Schizosaccharomyces pombe: one gene and its partners. The protein of the gene in region 3 interacts with the protein of the main gene of each other region in a biochemical or structural test. Each region holds a gene or a part of one and is shown on either strand. Other genes may lie near its edges. The genes, in order: cul3, cul1 and csn5.

Region 1 (6,540 bases), 440 kb from region 3:
CCATGCTCATTGCCATCAGGAGTACCAATGATCCATGTGGGGACCATTGGAACATCACCCGGGTTCGTGGTTAAGCCCTTGTAAAGCTCAGAAACAAAGCGATCGGTAACGCGATGTAAAAGTTCAGTGGGAATGGTGAATTGTTCTTCCAGTTCATCCAAATGATCTTGTAAAGTTTTGTTCAATTTGATATTTGAACCCTTACGACTAGGTGTACGAGAAGGCCAATGGTAAGCGTCGTGCAAGGACATTTTGATAACTTCAGTAGTGATACACAAAAGAAAGGAAGAAGTGAAAAGATGGCAATTCCTTGACACTTGGAGTTACGTAGGAAAAGAAAAAGATCTTTAAAATTTCAAAAGCAAAGGCCACTTATTTTAAAGAGTTCAAGACACGTTTAGTCACAAAAAGAGAATATGTAGGTTCTCTGCAAGACGAGTAGGATATCAAAAAGAGCTTTGTATCTTAGCTTAAAGTAAGAGATTGTAATCAACCTTTGGCAACCTTGCGGATACTTAAAAGTGTTTGGTGGTTAAAAGGAAGTGTGGTACGCGGAACCAATTAAATGAAATTGGCGAACAAGTGGGGTTCGTTAAGATATTTGAGGTTATTTATACAATTTCCTAAACAAATAGAATTAAGCGGAGAATATACAGAATAGCATTGAACGGTAGATATTTTTAGGGGTTCTTCCGAGATTGCTAAAGAGGATAGCGTAGTCCGTTAGGAAAGAAGAATATTCTTAATGTAAACAACCAGGTGTTTCAATACTAAATCAAATACATAGCTTTATTATTTGATTAACACCTTAAAGATTATAAGGAGCTTTACTTGCTCTGGTATTTTCGATGTTATTAGTAGAGTCATCATCAAAAGCATACTGTGTAGGATAGTGTATTTACGGCGAATTCGCTTCCTCCCATAATAATTTTTTAGGTTAACACTTCCCATCTATCGTTGATCAAATACCTTAATCTATTTTAAACTGAGGGTTTTTCTGTTTTGGTCTTTTTGTACAATGTATATGGAACAATGTAATTTAAACTCATTACTCTACTATCTGCTCGCAGAATTAATGTATCAAATTTTGATTGATTTGGAATATAATCTACCTGTTTTCAAACCTTCTTATAGCATTACTTAAAATTTTCTTTTTTTCAAAAATAAAAAGGAAGTTGGTGTAAAATTCATGAGTGTCATTATAATCACAAAGCTTTTGCTAGATATCATCTTGAACAAATTGGTATCTTTCCATTTAAACATGATTTCTCGTATACGAATATTGCATTTCGTGTAACAGTTAAGGCTGCTATGCTAAATATTCATAAATGCGACCATTATCGGCTTGTCTTTGTAGGTACTCCCGCTCTATTAAAGCTTCAATTCGTCGCTTAATCATCATCGGACTAGGGTGGAAACGAGGGTTTAACTGTCTTGTAACCTCTGCCATCAGCTGATTGTGTTCGCACACTTTGCGATCCCTTAATTTACTGTTAGTAAAAATGTTTGAAAAAAAAAAAAAAGGAAAAAGACATACTTCATCACTCTAACAATACAGGCATCTGCTTGATGCTTCCTTGACTCGTCTACCTTCTCTAATGTACGTTTTCTCTCACTATCATCCTCAACACGAGTCTGAGCAACTGTCGATATTTTAATCCGGGCGAGATTTGAAACAAAGTTCTCATTGAAATAAAACTTGTCACCTGCATTCACCTCCCTTCCTTTTGGATCCTTTAGCAAAATCTTGTATTTTGCACAAGCAAGGGACTGAAGATTGCGCTTCAAATCCCCAACTTCTATATTGGTTTTTTCCAAAATCTCCTCAAAAATTAAACACTGATTTTCTTTTAGGTCTTGGAAAAGCAATAGAATAACAGATGCAATAGTCGATACATTCAAGTCATATTTTCTGTCTTTGAAATTAACACGGACATCAGCACTTCCCTAAATAGGATTGTTAGTGTGACGCAACAAGCAAATAAAAGTTTACTATACCATAGAAGGATACCACAATAATTTTCTCCCCGTATGTTTCGATAAATAAAAATCCGTAAATTGATCTATCTGAGCCAGGAGAACTTTCGGAAAGTTACATTTAATTTTGTGAGGCGATAAATCGATGGGCCAAAATGTAGAAGCCAAAATTGAAACGTTTAAGTCCAAAGCAGGCTAACTGTTAGTATAAAGGATTATCAATAAAAATTTCCACTAACCTTGGCCGACTGTAACGCAGAATTATGTTTGTACTCCTGTAACAATTCTTGTGAAAGATTCATATCTAAGCATTAATAAGGGAACGCAAAAAAACTTGCTAAAGTCTGAATACTTACCATTAAACATTCCTTCGAGCTTTTGAGTAAAAACATTACCAGCTTCTTGTTTCAGCCTACTGATCATTCCGAGCTCTGCATCGGAAGATATTGATCGATTATTCAACAACCTAAAAGTGTTAAAGACAGTAAAAACAATTAAAGCATACCTTTTTGCAAGGTGTGTTTTGTAATATTTTTCAAAAACATCTTTTTCTGAAATAAACCGAAATAACGTAACAGAATTTTGAAGTGTTGCTTCAATAGAGCCTTCTATTGCTTTTCTAGCATCTTTTTTCAGATTGTCATCAATGAATAGTGAAATGTACTCGGGGGCTCGGGTATATCCGTCTACGAACGTAACAAAAGCATCTGATAAAGAGTTCAAGATAGACCGATCAGCATCCATAGTAGTACTTATAATTGTATTTAGTCTATCCCATAAGGCCAAAACTTTTTGAACCCATAATGTTGCCATTGTAGCATTAGATGATAGACGACCAACAGCCATCTTTCCTTCAAGCGCTTGGCTAGTAGTTTCATTGATTAATTTTCCATGATGCGCTACATATTTCGCCAAGTATTTTTTTAAAGACTTCACGCCAAGTTCCACTCTAGAAAAGCTTTCGTAAACCAATTGAAGACCCTCGAAGTTTGAAGAGTCGATCATCGAGAAAAAGCCAGTTGATTGATTTTCAAGCAAATCGTCCAAATGTTTACTCAAAAGCTCATCTTCAACAACGGATAGAAGGGGGCTAGCTATTTTTGTGAACAGGTAATTCTTGGACCTCTCCTTTTCTTCCTCAAATCTTTTCTCTGCTTTTTTCAGATACTCCACAACTCCAAATACGCCGATGACTGTTGATGATTCTATTTCATAGAAATTTCTTGTGTAAGATAAAAACTTTGGAGCAAATAAAACATCATAAAGAGTTTCCTTTTTGTTTTCTGAAGGCAAAGAGTTTAGCATATCTAAGCAGTCATTTATTAAGGGTCGATTTATTGTATTCCCTTTACGTTCAAGATAAACCAGAATTAGAATAGTTTCGACACATTTCTCTCCAATTTCAAAACTATTTAACAAAACAACTTCACGAAAGATATATATTCCGTTTTCATTAACAGGAACTTTGTCTGCAGATTTTGAATAAACCTTGTCCAAATATTTTAATACACTAGATATCATTTGCATTGAAACAATGTGATCCTTCCAGGAATTAACTAAAGACGATAAAAATCTATGAGCCGCTTCCAATGATCTCGACCATGAAGTAGAATAGGAATCATTTTTTCTAATATCCAATAGAGCATTCCCTAATAAGGAAGCGTCATAGTTTTTGTAAATAGCTGGAACAGTTTCTTCTTTAAGCCTCGATCTAATAACATCCTGTACATGATTATAAAGCTTTTCTCCATACTTATGTAGAACAAGTATATATGCATTTCTATACAACTCTTCAAACGATAATTGAGATGTGCTTTTCTGAAATATATCCCCAATAGCTCGCTGCAAGACTTCCCAATGTGTAGCAAAGTCTACTTGGTTAGCAGAAAACTAAATGTCAGTATGTGAGGAAAATAATAAGGACAGCATGCATCAGGTACACTTACTTTTCGTGGCGCTCGAATTTTTAACTTCGCTGACCGCTGCATTAATAATGGAATTTAAAGTTAAGTTTCAACAAAAAAGCTAAATATATGGGCATATGAGTTTGCATAAAGAAACGCCAGCACAGACGGAAGTAATGGTACAAAAGGTGGTAGAAGGTACTAACTACGAACAACATTCTCCGAACACAAAAATTTTTCAAACATAATGTGGAGCTTTGCACGGTATACTCAAAAATTCTGTTTACGAAATTTGCAGTTAAAAAATTTTTCAAACAAGGTAAAGGTTTCAAGTTTACTTTTCTGTTCCCCGAATGTGAGAAACATTTCTAATTGGCAATGCAAACGCTTCACTCAAAGCGATGCTAAAGATCTTGCAAGTGGTGTTCCCTCTGTAAAATCAGATGCTGATCAATTACAACCTAAACCGACTTATAATGTTTCTTTTACTTGTACCGTGTAAGTATTTATAATTTCATTGAAGGATACTAACCAAATGAAAGATGTAACACTAGGTCAAATCACAATTTCTCCAAGCAGGCCTACCATAATGGGACCGTTTTAGTTCAATGTCCTAAGTGCAAAAATCGGCACTTGATGGCTGATCATTTAAAAATATTCTCTGAAGAACGGGTGACGATTGAAGACATTTTAGCTAAGAAAGGGGAAACTTTTAAAAAAGGCTATGGTCAAGTAATCAATGGCAATGTTGTAGAATTTAAGCCCCCTCAATTTAAAATTCGACCAGCAAAATCATCTTCTTCCAATTCTTCCAAATGAACTAGGAGAGCGATCAAATTGGGTTTAGGAGCATATAAATTGCAAGATATAGTCATTGTTTATTTTAATTTCTATAGTATATATTATTTTTATTTATTTTTGTAATACTTTGGTCAATATATACGACGTTCTAATAGAACATTTAATTATTATATGAGCTTGTTAACTTGAAATTATCTTTTGAATTTTTAGACTAGATGTGATAATTTAGCAATCATTGAGCAAATCATATCCAAAAAAAAATAAATTAATTAATTAATTATAAAAATTAACGATTTTAGAGATCTAAATGGGCTATACAGAATTATTGCAAACGAATGTAAAACATTTTTCAATATATAAGTTGCTAATTTACCAAAATCAAAATTTAGTCTTTAAAGATGCTTAATTAATATTTCTATTTTAATAGCGCGTTTTGTATAGTGCTGACTATTTTATTCATTCCAATAAACAATACAAACTGAATTTATTATTTTTAAAAATATAATTGATTTCATCATACTCTCTCTACCTTACTCTTAAAATTATTTACGGACTATGAAGCTGACACAAAGTGTAAATTACGCAGTGTCTTGCATTTTGCTAGTGAACACCACTAGGTTTGTTTACTCTATGATATTTTGAGAACCGACCATCTTCTTTGCTGTTGGTAGGAGACTTCTAGGATGTTACGTTTATTTCGATTTGATGTTCTTGAGACTTCGACCAAAGATACTGAAAGACCCAATTCTAAAAGTTCACGGTTAAGTTCGACTTCTGGTTCAAGTCATCCATCTTCATCTTCACGTTTGACCGTTCGAAGCGCAGTTCCGGAAAAGAGCGCTTTTGGTTCCATAGAATTTATTTTTTACTTTTCTGTCATTCTATCGATTCTAACAATTGCTTGTTTTAAAATTCATTATGTTAGTTCTCGTAAGTGTCAAAAGCTTTAATCAGCCTTTTCTATTTATCAATTTGAAATAAAGTAAGCAACTAACTAGGCGTCAGCAAAACATCCCAATTACAAAAACATTGAAAAATATTTAAAGCCTGGGTGGTTGTTTGGACAAAAAGTCGATTCCGCTGATTTTCAGTATTCCGCGTTTCGTGAAAATATGCCAATCTTACTACTTGTAATTATTGTCTATAATTTTCTCTGGAGACTCGTTAAGCTTGTCTTCACAAAAAATACTAATGATGAACTCGCTATAAAAAACAACTATCGACTTTGCTTCTCCCTGCTGTTTGCATTACTTGTCTACGGGACTGGCGTTATATATGTTTTAACAATTGCATTGATCAATTATCTCATTTCTAAGTCTCTAAAGAACAGTATTTTTAATCCACTCTTGACATGGACATTAGATATATCAGTGGTGTTTTTTAAAGAATATTTTGCCTATTGCAAATTTTCTAGCCTTCATCCAGGCCTAGGGTTTTTGGTACGCTATCTTTAGCCATCAGATGTTAATCTTTTTACAGGATCAATATACTGGGATTCTTGAGCGCTGGTATGTTCTTTTTAACATTACCATGCTTCGGCTCGTGTCATTTAATATGGATTATTACTGGTCCTTAAAGCACAACTCTGAAAAACTTAACGTAAGTTTGAGCACATGCCTTTTGAGTTTATAAATAATAACCATTAGACTCTAATATTTGACAAAGATCGTGAGCCAACAACATTGACGTTTCGTGAAAGGGTTGATTATTCTTGTCTTGATGAAGATTATAATCTTAAGAATTTTTTGACATACATTTTTTATGCCCCTTTATATTTAGCGGGCCCTATCATTTCGTTCAACAATTTTATGTCCCAGGTAAATTGTTTAATTAAATTTTCTGCTAATATTTAGATGAA
Region 2 (6,583 bases), 2.7 Mb from region 3:
TTGCTGGAAATTATTTGGCACTACAAGCTGCATATTGGGTGAATCGGAGACAAGTATTCTGCGTAGCAACTTTCGAGCCGCCTTTTCCCTGCGATGAGCTCTTTCACGCTCCTCATCCTCAAATCGCTTTCTGATTATAGTCCGTACAACATTTTCAAAAGCTCTACGCTCTTGCAGTTGCTCCAAATAATACTCTTGCAAACGAGCCTCTTGTTCCCGTTCATGCAAGTATTGACGGAATTTTCGATGTTGAATTTGCTGGAGCACTTCTTGCCTTGCATCCTCAATTGCCTTCTTTCGCAAAGCCAATTGTTCTTCTTGGCGTTGAATCACTTCGATTTGTTGATTCAGCTCTTCTAAGGCCATTTGAAGGCTGTGGTCTTGCACATTTTGATATTCATTACCATGTACATCTATAAGATGAAATAAAGTCGCCATTATGCTACGATTCTCTTCCTAGTATTTTTTTTCAGAACGATATGTCAAGGAAGATGGTGTGTTGAAGAAGAATGAGCGAACCGCGATGTTTACTCATTTATGTCATACTATGGTGTTGGCACCGGAATGTACCGGAATCATCCATTTCATCCATGAACACTCCAGCAACACCTGGAAGTAGTAAATCAATAAAAACGTTAAAATTGCCTTAATTAGTCTGATCAATTAATTTTTTTTAATTTGTAAGCACCATTTCGTTCTTCGTGCTGAATAATCAATATATGTCTTTTTTAACAGAATCAAGCGATTTGCAGAGGAAGACGAAGACGACAATTGACAATAAATGTATTATATAAAACATATCTTTGACATCCTTTCACAATTTCAAGCATCTGTACTTCGTGAAATGGTGCATGTATGTGGTCGATAACTGTTTTCTTTTCTTTTTCATTGTACGACTTATCCACGTAAAATGATGGGATAATAGAAGTTTGTTGTTGCTATCCAGTAACTAGTAGTAAAAAAAAGTTGCATAGCTTGCATGTAGCTAAGCTACACATTTCTTCAATGGAGTGGTGACTTTCCTACGTTATTAAAAGCTTAGTTTCAATGGATTAAAGATCACTAGCAGACAAGAATGTAAACAAAAGAAAAAAGAAAATTCGTATTGCGTGATTAATTACATATATAACACTCGAAAAGTATATCATTTTTTTTGGAGCATTTCGCGGAGATGTTTCTCTCAAGCAAGGTAAATGTATTCATCGCGGCCTTGGCGTTCCAGGTACTCTTTTTCGATTAACATATCTATACATTGCTTAATATCAGACACTTTAGGAGTAAATCTGCTTTTAATTTGATCAATAGTCTCTTTCACTAACACTACATGTTTCAATGTTCGGCGAGCCTTCATGATACGGACGATAGCGGATTGAAGCAGTAACTTTCGATCTTCTTCTATAGTTTTATGAGTCTCCAGAGATTCCTGCTTTTGCTCAGATCTAATTGGGAGATTTAACTGTACCCGTATCTTTTTCATCCTAAAATTTTCATTGATCTTATATGTGCTATTAGGATCACCAAGCTTGTCATTGTCGCCAAGGAGAAGCACCTTTGCTTTTAGGAATATGTTCAGAATCCCTGTCAAGAAATCTGTACTTAACCCAGTTATTTTTGCCAGCTCCTCATATGTATAAGAATCGCGATGGTTGTACAAAAGCAAAACACCCATTTGATATGTAGAAACTTGAAACACATAAGTGACATTAGTTTGAGGGTTAATGCGTGCCTTTATTTCTCCTTTAGAGAGATGGAACAACCAGCTTAACTTCCTTCCGTTATGGCAGCTATAGTAATAGTTTTGGAATCCTTCATACAAAGGAACTAATTCCTCTGGCAGATGAAAGTTCACATTGTTGGGAGATAGAGGCCAAAACGATGTACCAAGTACAAGAGCAGAGAAATCTATATTTCCAGCACGTGACTGAGGGAGTTGCCAAAACGCTTCGGTAATCTCTTGAGACAAGGAGATGTCTTGAAACATACGCTGTAGCTTACTAGTATATTCAAAACCGCAGACTTCCTTTAACTTAGATAGCATGCTAGATTCAGCATCCTGGGAATTAGAGGTACCATTCACAAGTCGCTTGGCTAAAAGCTTAGTATAAAAGTTTTGAAAAACATCCTTGTCTTCGACATAACGAAAAATAATGATAATCGACGATAAACAGTCTTCAACATCATCAATGTCAACATTCTTGTTGCTTTTTCGCAAAATACTGTCGGCGTATTTAGCAAGCAACTCTGGGGAGCGAGAGGAAGAGCGCTGGCAAACAACATTTCGATTGACAAGTTCTCTAAAGGCTGTATCCAATGACTTTGTAAAATCAGTATCCCCATGAAATGCGGTGTTAACAAGTTCTTTGGAAGCTTTATACGTGGAAAGTAACATTTCCATATACTCTTTAGGATCCACATCGGCTTCTCCACCGACCTGGGGAACAATTTTGGCAACCGCAGCAAAGCCTGATCTCTTGACAAACTCCTCAAATGTCTGGCGTAAAGGCTGCAACCCATTAGGTGTTCGAGACATCAATCGGTACATGCGAATGATATCCTCACTGCAGTTTTGGTCGAGCATGCGTGCAAAGTCGTTGTGCAAAACTTCTTCATGTTGTGCAATTAGTACATCTTCAGTCGCTTCTAAAAGCGGCTTCAATGTGGATTCATGCAAATATAATCTCACAAGCTCTTCCTCCTCTGCTAGTCTTATTTCTGCCTTTTTTAAGTAATCCGTAATAGAATGGGAAGCCAAGTATTCGGAAGACTCCTTTGCATAAAAGTTTTTTGTATTTTCAATAAAGTTTGTTTCGAAAAAAGTTTTGTATGAGCTCAAGTTAGGCTTTGTCATATCGGTTTTATCAAAGCTCAATGAAGTGATAGAATCCACACAAACTTCCACATATTTCATATCAGTAGGTTCATATAATCTTTTTTTGGTGAACATGTATAACAAATTTTGAAGTAGGCTATCGCGAATGTGGGAAAAAACGTGATGATGCCATGACACAAGACAAAGTGTGTAAATGTCGTACACGAGTGTCTCAGTAAATCTGTTCTTCAGTTTAACCCAATATCTATTTAAATATCCAAAAAGATGGTTGATAAAACGGGCAGATGTTGTAAATCGCGTCCAATACTTGGCATACGCAGCGAGTTGCTCTTCATGATTCGTTTGCGAAATGCATTCCTAAAGCGCCAATTAGCACGAGAAAAATTACCACATAATGCAATTTATTCCTTAATCATAATAAAAGACCAGATGCTTATGCTAGCACTCTTTAAAATGTCCAGAGAAAATGTTTAGAAATTAAAGAAAACTGCTGAACACTCGAGGTGCAATGAAATCTTTGTCGTAGAATTATAAATAAAAAACCGATATTTAAACTCACCTTTCGCAGACGGGCCAAATACTCTTCCAGATATAGAACCAAATTATTGTAAAGGGCTTCGCCTAAAACGTTTGCAGCTAGCACATACAGTTAGAATCCAGTGAAAATAATCATAAGAAAATATATGTAGTTCTTCTTTTTGACAAATTCTGAGTCAAAATATAAATTTTTATCTATTTTTTACGTACTTTGATCGTTGAAATTGTCCACCGTTATAGTTTTGGACGCATCAGCACAGTAGTTATGGATTGCTCTAAAAATAAAGTATGTAAGTATATAAATATAGGTGCCATGAAATATCTGATAACTAATATACTAGTATTCAGATCTCAAAATATTGGACTAACTTACGTATAAAGCTCCATATACTTAGTGATAGTCATTCCTTCATCTAGCCTTTCAAATATTTGGGACACACCTGTTTTTAAAAAGTCCCAACTGCATATAGATCAGCAATCGTCAATCAGTTACAATGTAACATACGTTCCATTCAATGAATCATATTTTTTAACAATCGGGAGGTCTTTATCGTTGGTATTCAAAGTAGTCATTAACCAAAATGGTTATAAATGTATAACAAGTAAAATATATTTTATTCAGCACACAATTGCTCTTTCTTAGATGGCAGATAGAGTAAACGTAGTAAATAGTAGCACTGATCCTTTCAAGAACCTACAGGTAACGACGAAGTGAACGAAGGTACAAGAGGTAGCCAGGTGTACGTAGCAAAAGCTCATTATAAAAGTGCTTTATAAGATTATATTTAATATCTAATTTTTTTTTAAGTAAATAATTATTATATTAAAAAATTCTTCATTAACGCATTTATTATTATGAAAACAAAGACATAAAGCCAATATTTATCAACATATACATGAATATGCCAAAGAAATCCTTTAAATTTGAGTTATTGTTCTGCCAAAAGAATGATGTATGCGATCCGCTGGATATTGAGTGCTCGATGCAAATACACATATGGTGTAAAAGATATCTCTGACAAGTGTATAGTAATATTGTACTAAATGAAAATCTCAAACCCATGAAATATTTACAAATGTTGAAAAGGGTTTAATTTGGACCTCAAATAGGTTGACATTTTCAATGTGGCCAACATAACAGGATGCTCTTTCATAGATGTTGTAAAACAGAAATACTTTTCCTTCTCTTTCTCAAACGCGCTACAAATTACCTCTTCATACCATCTTTTGAGCACCGCCATCTATTGTTTACCATCAGAGCCTCATCCTCAAACAATTCTGAGTGCCGTTAACGGTAGCCAATTCCTAAGTAAAATTGTCGCAAAATGTTGATGCATCAAAAGCGGCCTCAAATTGAACTTTTTATCATTTACCTACTAAAATAAAAGTAATAGAATGCGCTTGGATACGCACGTTTGGAGTCTGCTTTCTATATTCACTTAGGAACAGACGAATTATTATTAATTCTGAATAAGACCAAAAATTATTCTCAATTTCATAACTAATTAGCTTCCTCCTTTATCACTTAAACTTGCTTGCTTTATTTTTTTTATTTTTTTTTACAATTTAGGTGTTTTTATATTCGTAGAATGGCAATAATGAGTTGAAAACATTCCATTCTTCGCTAACCACCTTTCCCCCTTTAACGCGTGGCCAGCATTGTTCTACTTTGCTCACTTGACTATTTACTTACATATTTTTTTGTTTAGTATTCCAATACAATCAAAATATCTGTAATTTGTTGAGATTCTTTCTAAAAAACAAACATAATATCTGTTTCTCTCTTTTATTTGCTATTATATCCCATTTTCTCCGTTTTTATGAACCTTGAACCTTCAAGTTTCTATGTAATTATTCAATTTCAACATAAGAAACTCTGCAAAAAAGCTATTTACATCACTGCTTCGTCTTTTGAATTCCAAAATTTTTTCTAGAAACTATCCGCTCATCTTTTCTTTGCAATCCATCATCAATTTCCACACTAATAGTCAAGAGTGTTTATATACTGTGATATTAAGAGATATATTTTAAAGTAGTAATCCATAGTCATTATACAATCTTCTTATTATTTTAGGCCTTTCTTCTTTCTTTTGATTTCTCTCTCCATAATTTTATCTTAATCGACTTTTTCTCAGTTATCTTATTGGGGGAGGATAACTAACCTTTGTCTCCAGTATTTACTTAAAATTTCGTTATAAATAAGCTAGTTCAGCTTGTGCTATTCAAACCGCTGTCTTTCTGCTTTCCTGTTTTTTTCTGTAAACAAATCCTCTTTTTTCTCAAAAAAAAAAAAAAAAAAAGAAAATACTTGTTTTATGAACTGACCAAACTTTATTTCAAAAAAGTTACTTGGACTTTTAAGTCATTAATTTGGCTTTTGTTTTTAATTTTTTTTTCAACACTTGGAAGGTTAACTATCCATTTTAAAATCCTGTTCCTTTTATTAATCTGTAAAAAGAATACCTAGTTGTTCTTTCATTCAAGTCTTTTTAAACTTCCGCCGACTTTGCCTCGCTATTGTCCGCAAACAACCATTTGGAGTTTGCCTAGTCCTATATACTACCTTTCCGTATTTCCACCTTGGTGAGGTACACCAGCGTTCCAAAATCGCTACAAGTATTCATTCTTTTGTATTTATTTTTTAAATACTTTGTGCGTTTACGCGAAAAGTGCTTTCGAGCACTTTACAAGAAAAAGGAAAATTTTCAAGTGAATTAGCTTTCGTTCTCGAGATTGAGGCTCATCATCTTTTTCCTTTAGATTCTTTTTGTTTTTTGTTTAACGTTTTTTTTTTTTTTTTACTTGCTGGAAGTATTTTGAAGACTATTTGCTGTCACAACTCAGCGAAGACTTTTTGTGGTTACGTGTCTAAGCGCGAAATCTTCTTTAACTAAGCTTTCTTTTCATTCATTTTTGTTCTTCTTTCTTGGGATTTAACTGGTTTCGTTGGATTTATCATGTATAATGTACGTGGCGATTTAAATCGCAAAACCCCTTCGGATGGTAACGTGAATGAGATTGGTTCTATGTACGCTTCGAGAGACACCAGTACTTCTTCTTTCACAAATCCCACCGATTCCTCTACTCGTCTGTTGTACAACAATGCCTCCAACGCTACATTTAGCAGTGCAGCCTTGGCAGCCGGTGTCGGCGGAACAAGAGCTAGTGGCTATACCCATAGATTCTCTATTAGACCCAGCTCTCAGACATATAATA
Region 3 (4,775 bases):
GATGAAAACAACGTTGAAATTGTTACTGCCGAGGCAATGACACTAGCTCAGGATATTGCTTCTAGGAGAAAGTCTAAGGCTGATTTGATTGATGAAGGTTATAATCGATGGTCGTTTCAATCTAAAGAAGGTCTTCCAGATTGGTTTTTGGATGAAGAAACAACCGTCAATAAACCCAACAAGCCAATCACCAAAGAAGCCGTTTTGGCTTTGCGGGAAAAAATGAAGGCTCTTAATGCTCGTCCTATCAAAAAAGTTCTTGAGGCACAAGGTCGTAAAAAGATGCGTACTATTAAGCGTCTGCAACGTGTCGCTAAAAAAGCTGAAGGAATTTCAGAAAGCGGTGATATGACTGAAAGTGAAAAAGCTAAAGAAATATCGCGACTCGTAAGCCGTGCTACTAAATCGAAGCCTAAAGCAAAGCCTACGTTAGTTGTTGCAAAGGGTCCTAATAAAGGCCTTAAATCTCGTCCTAAGGGTGTTAAAGGAAAGTATAAAATGGTTGACAGTCGAATGAAAAAGGATTTGCGCGCACAAAAAAGACTAGCTAAAAAGGGTCGTCGTTAAAATACTTGACTGTTTAATTTCATTAACAGTTTTTCGTGGAATTTAGGCTTAAAATAATTATATCTAGGTTAGAGTTTGGGTTTTAGTGGATTAATAGTATTCTTATTTAGTATTAGATTTGGGAGTAACAGCATGGATATGTTTTGCAAGAGTTAAACTGCTACATATATAAACATTATTAATTAACTATTTATATGCAGTTCTTTTCGAATATTTCGATTGAGTAAATGGAAGAAATTTGAATTACAGGTCTAAACCAGCGGAGGAGCAGCCTCAATTCGTATTCGTCTACGGACGTCCTCAATGTCGTTCGTCAGTTCCTTTTCCCAATAGACATTGATCAATGTTTTTGCATTCAAACCATTACGAATCGACCATGGAATGTATACCCGACGAAACCTTGAAGCCTGTTCACAATTTAAGCGTAGAGGACCAAATAAAGCAGAGAGAGCTCCAACTGGTAAACCCATGTTAACAAATTCCAGCCTAAATTGTTAGTATACAAACCATGAAGTTAGAAATAAAGTAAAGTATATCTATACCATTTAATAGCTAATTCTCCTTCAATGTTTGTAGGCATGTTACATATAGCATGGTAAAAATCGTGAGATTCACGATATCTTTGCATAACATATGCCTCCTCTGGGTCATCTACAAAACGGGTAGGGCTTCGAGTATCGGGTCCAACATGCTCTTTGTCTATCCAGTCAACATAAATTTTACCTAGGGTATTTGGCGGAAGGGTCCGCAAAAATGGTAAGTTTAAAGACTTCGATGTCATTCTAGGTTTATCTTTCAAAATTTCACGACCTGTTTTATCAACGAGCATTTTATTCAGTAATCGATGAAGGAAGAATGGTTGACCAGATGCATCTCCTAGGACAGATATCATATCTCCTAGCATTAGTAAATCCAGAAAAAGTAAATATAGCTTTTCACCAACTTCTGTAGCAAAGGTCAAAAGAATTTGCCGAAGTGTTTTTACTACCTAAATTTCATACCGCCTCTCCATGGTGCCTTCAATCCCATGATTGCTGATCCTGCAACCAAAAAAATACGTTGCAGCGGTGATAAAGGAACATGTCCTGGATAATTAACCTTCCTCTCTAATTTCTTTAGTAAAATCTCATTTATGCATTAGCTGAGCTAAACATTTCTTACCAGCTGCTGTAAAAAGCAAACGAAGTTGGTTGGAAGCAACTGAAGGCTTTAAAAACTTCTTTGAAAGTGACATTACAACGTCTACGACCTTATTAATTTCAAGATGAGCATTAAGATAAAACATACATACTGATATGTGAAGTTCAGTATTGCTGATACTTTTTAAAGTGGTGTGTCATCGATATAATAGATTTACGAATTTGGCGTTACAAAAGTCGAATATGTTTACTCAATAAAAAAAAAAAGATTACGGGTAATAAAAAAAAAACTAACTGAAATATATTAATATGACTTTCATTAATAAACTGTACTGTATTACTTAGTAGATTCGACGTTTATATATCTCATGTTTCCTGATATTAGTGAATCGTTGATTTATTCATTCTTTAAATAATTTATCTTGGACATCAATTTGAGACAGAAAAGTAGATAATTCGTTACAACAAGCTTTGGATTGTTCGTAGGCAGATGCAACAGGTAATTCATTATTCCCTGTTTCATGAATAAGATGATCGATTAATTTTTCGCTGTCATGTAAAAATTCATTGTTCTATATTGCTTGTTAGAAAAACTTGCAGACTCGTTAAGAAACTTTATTAGAATATGAATCTTACTTGTAAAATAGAACACTCGGTGATTGACCTAGACCAGTTTCTATTCCTTAAAAACTCCGTAACCTTTTTTTCAGCTTTGGAATGAAAGTAAGTTATAGGGAGACTGTAGTACGCTTCTGCGTGGGCTCCGGCATCTTCGATTTTGGAAGAAGGTAAATTTTTAAATAAGACAGACGGGTGATGACGAGATTTTGTGCGGATAGAGCCATCATTACCGACAGGATAGGTTCGAAATGCTCCAATGTTTACATATGGAGATTCCAAGGATCGCTTCGGGTCCAACACAACGGCAACAAATGGATCCTGATATTTTTGATTTTGGCGCTGAGTTTCAACATCTACACCTGAAAGCCAGCAACCATAGTTAGGATGTGAATGGTACCATCCTATGACATTTTCATGTCTGTAAACAGACTTGCAAAGAGTATGATATTGTACACTGTATTCTTGTGCTTCTTCATGTGCATTGACACGAGTCTCAGTACCTTCAACTGGTAACGCAAAAGAATCTAAAATAATCAAGGAGGCCCCTTCAACCTTCCCCTGAACATAGCCCATTACCTCTAATGGCATGCCTTGAGATACATGCCGTAACATTTTCAACAAAGCTACTGCTGAGATTTTGACAGAACGGAAAAACTCTGGGCTGTTATTGTTAGCATTACAGGATTTATAATTTTAATAAATTAACGTAGGGAAAAAAATTCAGAGACTGGTATAATATAGCTAAAAACCAATGAAATCTTAACTTACTCATGTTTCCACGGCGATTCACGAATTTTAGCCCTCTCTTTTTCTTCATCAAATCTAAAAACATTTTCGAGTTGATTATTCATTGCAATTTTGTAATTGTAGTCATTAAATACAGAAAATGAATCATTTGTGGTATGTGACGAAAAAATGTTGGAGAACTTTTCGAGTACAAGTAAAACTCGCTATAAAGACATATTTTTAGATAAAAATTTCGTTTATTTACTTAAGCATATTAGTTGATTAAAAGCATTTTAAAACATGAATTCTAGCCTGTAAAATGTATGTTTATTGAATTTCGAAAAGACAATATATTTTGCTTGGTAACTGGTATCTTTGAGAACTTGTTTTACTATGAATGAAAACAGACAATATAGTATTAGTTCATTGAAATCCTATTCACTGAATTTACACAATCGCCAATCCCTTGTAACATATATCATGAAAGAGACACACGAAGATGCTAAAAATCAATAAATCAAGGTTTACGAAAGAATGTAGATTCTAGTATTGTTGTTCAAGCAGGCTGTGACACTTATCTTTAGCATCAATTGTAACCTACAACCAAGTATATAAAACAGGCATCTATGGCTTGAAAACAAAAAGAAAACACGAGGAAATATTGTTTAATCTTTTTTAGTACACTAAGTCCATCATCATTAAGTCATTAAAGTGCGAGAATGAATCCCATAAATAAAATGAAGTTTGTCTCCATTGATAAACAATCTCAAGATATATGAATCCACAATTCGGCAAATTCTTCACGCGATACTTTACCATTAGTGCCAGCTAAATCGAGCATCAACTGAAGCTGTTCTTTAGTCAAATTTTCCCCTAGTTGAGCGCAAGATCTTCGAAGGTCTTCAAAGTCAATGTACCCTTTGTGTGTCACGTCAAAAAGATCAAAAGCCTCTTCTGCTTCTTCATCCATTTCAAGACGTTTAGTACTGACAGACATGGTTCCCCTAAACTAAAAAACTATTCAACAAGGAAACGCAAATGCAAACAAATGAGATAGTGCCAAAAATGCTAAAATGAACGAAATAACAGTAAAAAAAAAGAAAGGAATGAAAATCAGCGTCCGATGGCTAGAAGAGATATAATTTGTTCAACAGTTATCAAAAAAAGACTAGAAGTGAGTTAAAAATCCAAACGAAAAGACAAGGAGGAATAATATGAACAGATAGACAATCAAAAGTGGAATAACTGCGTTTAAATACTAAGTAATCAGGCTATTTGATGCAATTTGAAGGTGGTACAAATGGAAATTTCGTGGTGCGATAAAGTGGACGAAACTTGACCTTAATGAATATATGGTATAAAAACGTTAAGCTGAATTTTTTTTTCTAAAACTGCCAAATCAACAAGGATATTGAAGAGACAGTTGGAAATCTCAAAATTTATGTATAAAATGTGTTCAATTGACTTTATTTACGTGCCAAGCCAACCTACTAAGGCGTTATTAGCTAATATAATAAATTGACCGAAGCTAAGGTTGTGCGCAATATTTAAATAACAAAACACGTAATACAAGATTTTTGATGAGTTAATAGATCGACTTGCAAAATGGCTTTAATGATGTAGGCTATCAAGCATAATCTCCTTTAGCGGTGTGGCATACTAATACTCGTGTTATATATTATATATGAATGTTTGACATTATTTATACACATTCATTTTTTA

Evidence for each region.
Region 1: of the proteins of csn5 (region 3) and cul3, one has a biochemical effect on the other in vitro, tested with the Schizosaccharomyces pombe proteins (one study listed by BioGRID).
Region 2: of the proteins of csn5 (region 3) and cul1, one has a biochemical effect on the other in vitro, tested with the Schizosaccharomyces pombe proteins (one study listed by BioGRID).

What each region holds. Positions count from the first base shown.
Region 1 is NC_003424.3:484,651-491,190, forward strand, and holds cul3 (cullin 3), read right to left. Parts: upstream 4,065-6,540; 5' UTR 3,966-4,064; coding exon 3,924-3,965; intron 3,868-3,923; coding exon 2,483-3,867; intron 2,444-2,482; coding exon 2,334-2,443; exon of another isoform or gene 2,282-2,333; coding exon 2,217-2,281; exon of another isoform or gene 2,173-2,216; coding exon 1,999-2,172; exon of another isoform or gene 1,948-1,998; coding exon 1,538-1,947; exon of another isoform or gene 1,482-1,537; coding exon 1,310-1,481; 3' UTR 1,073-1,309; downstream 1-1,072. Other genes in the region: hxk1 (hexokinase 1), read right to left, coding at 1-251; TIM23 translocase complex subunit Tim15, read left to right, coding at 4,129-4,379, 4,424-4,700; gup1 (MBOAT family O-acyltransferase), read left to right, coding at 5,366-5,612, 5,688-6,121, 6,162-6,281, 6,329-6,499, 6,536-6,540. UniProt on the Schizosaccharomyces pombe protein: Probable core component of multiple cullin-RING-based BC3B (BTB-CUL3-BTB) E3 ubiquitin-protein ligase complexes which mediate the ubiquitination and subsequent proteasomal degradation of target proteins.
Region 2 is NC_003424.3:3,609,481-3,616,063, reverse strand, and holds cul1 (cullin 1), read right to left. Parts: upstream 4,008-6,583; 5' UTR 3,941-4,007; coding exon 3,873-3,940; intron 3,828-3,872; coding exon 3,741-3,827; intron 3,643-3,740; coding exon 3,578-3,642; intron 3,467-3,577; coding exon 3,390-3,466; exon of another isoform or gene 3,188-3,389; coding exon 1,181-3,187; downstream 1-1,180. Other genes in the region: protein slt1, read right to left, coding at 1-438; ghs2 (glucosidase), read left to right, coding at 6,325-6,583. UniProt on the Schizosaccharomyces pombe protein: Core component of multiple cullin-RING-based SCF (SKP1-CUL1-F-box protein) E3 ubiquitin-protein ligase complexes, which mediate the ubiquitination of target proteins.
Region 3 is NC_003424.3:924,394-929,168, forward strand, and holds csn5 (COP9/signalosome complex protease subunit Csn5), read right to left. Parts: upstream 3,234-4,775; 5' UTR 3,179-3,233; coding exon 3,096-3,178; intron 3,054-3,095; exon of another isoform or gene 2,989-3,053; coding exon 2,343-2,988; intron 2,279-2,342; coding exon 2,108-2,278; 3' UTR 2,001-2,107; downstream 1-2,000. Other genes in the region: rRNA methyltransferase Spb1, read left to right, coding at 1-567; ubiquinone biosynthesis protein Coq4, read right to left, coding at 819-1,053, 1,110-1,464, 1,569-1,673, 1,729-1,852; SPOM_SPAC1687.14C (calcium-binding protein), read right to left, coding at 3,820-4,050; SPOM_SPAC1687.23C (uncharacterized protein), read right to left, coding at 4,766-4,775.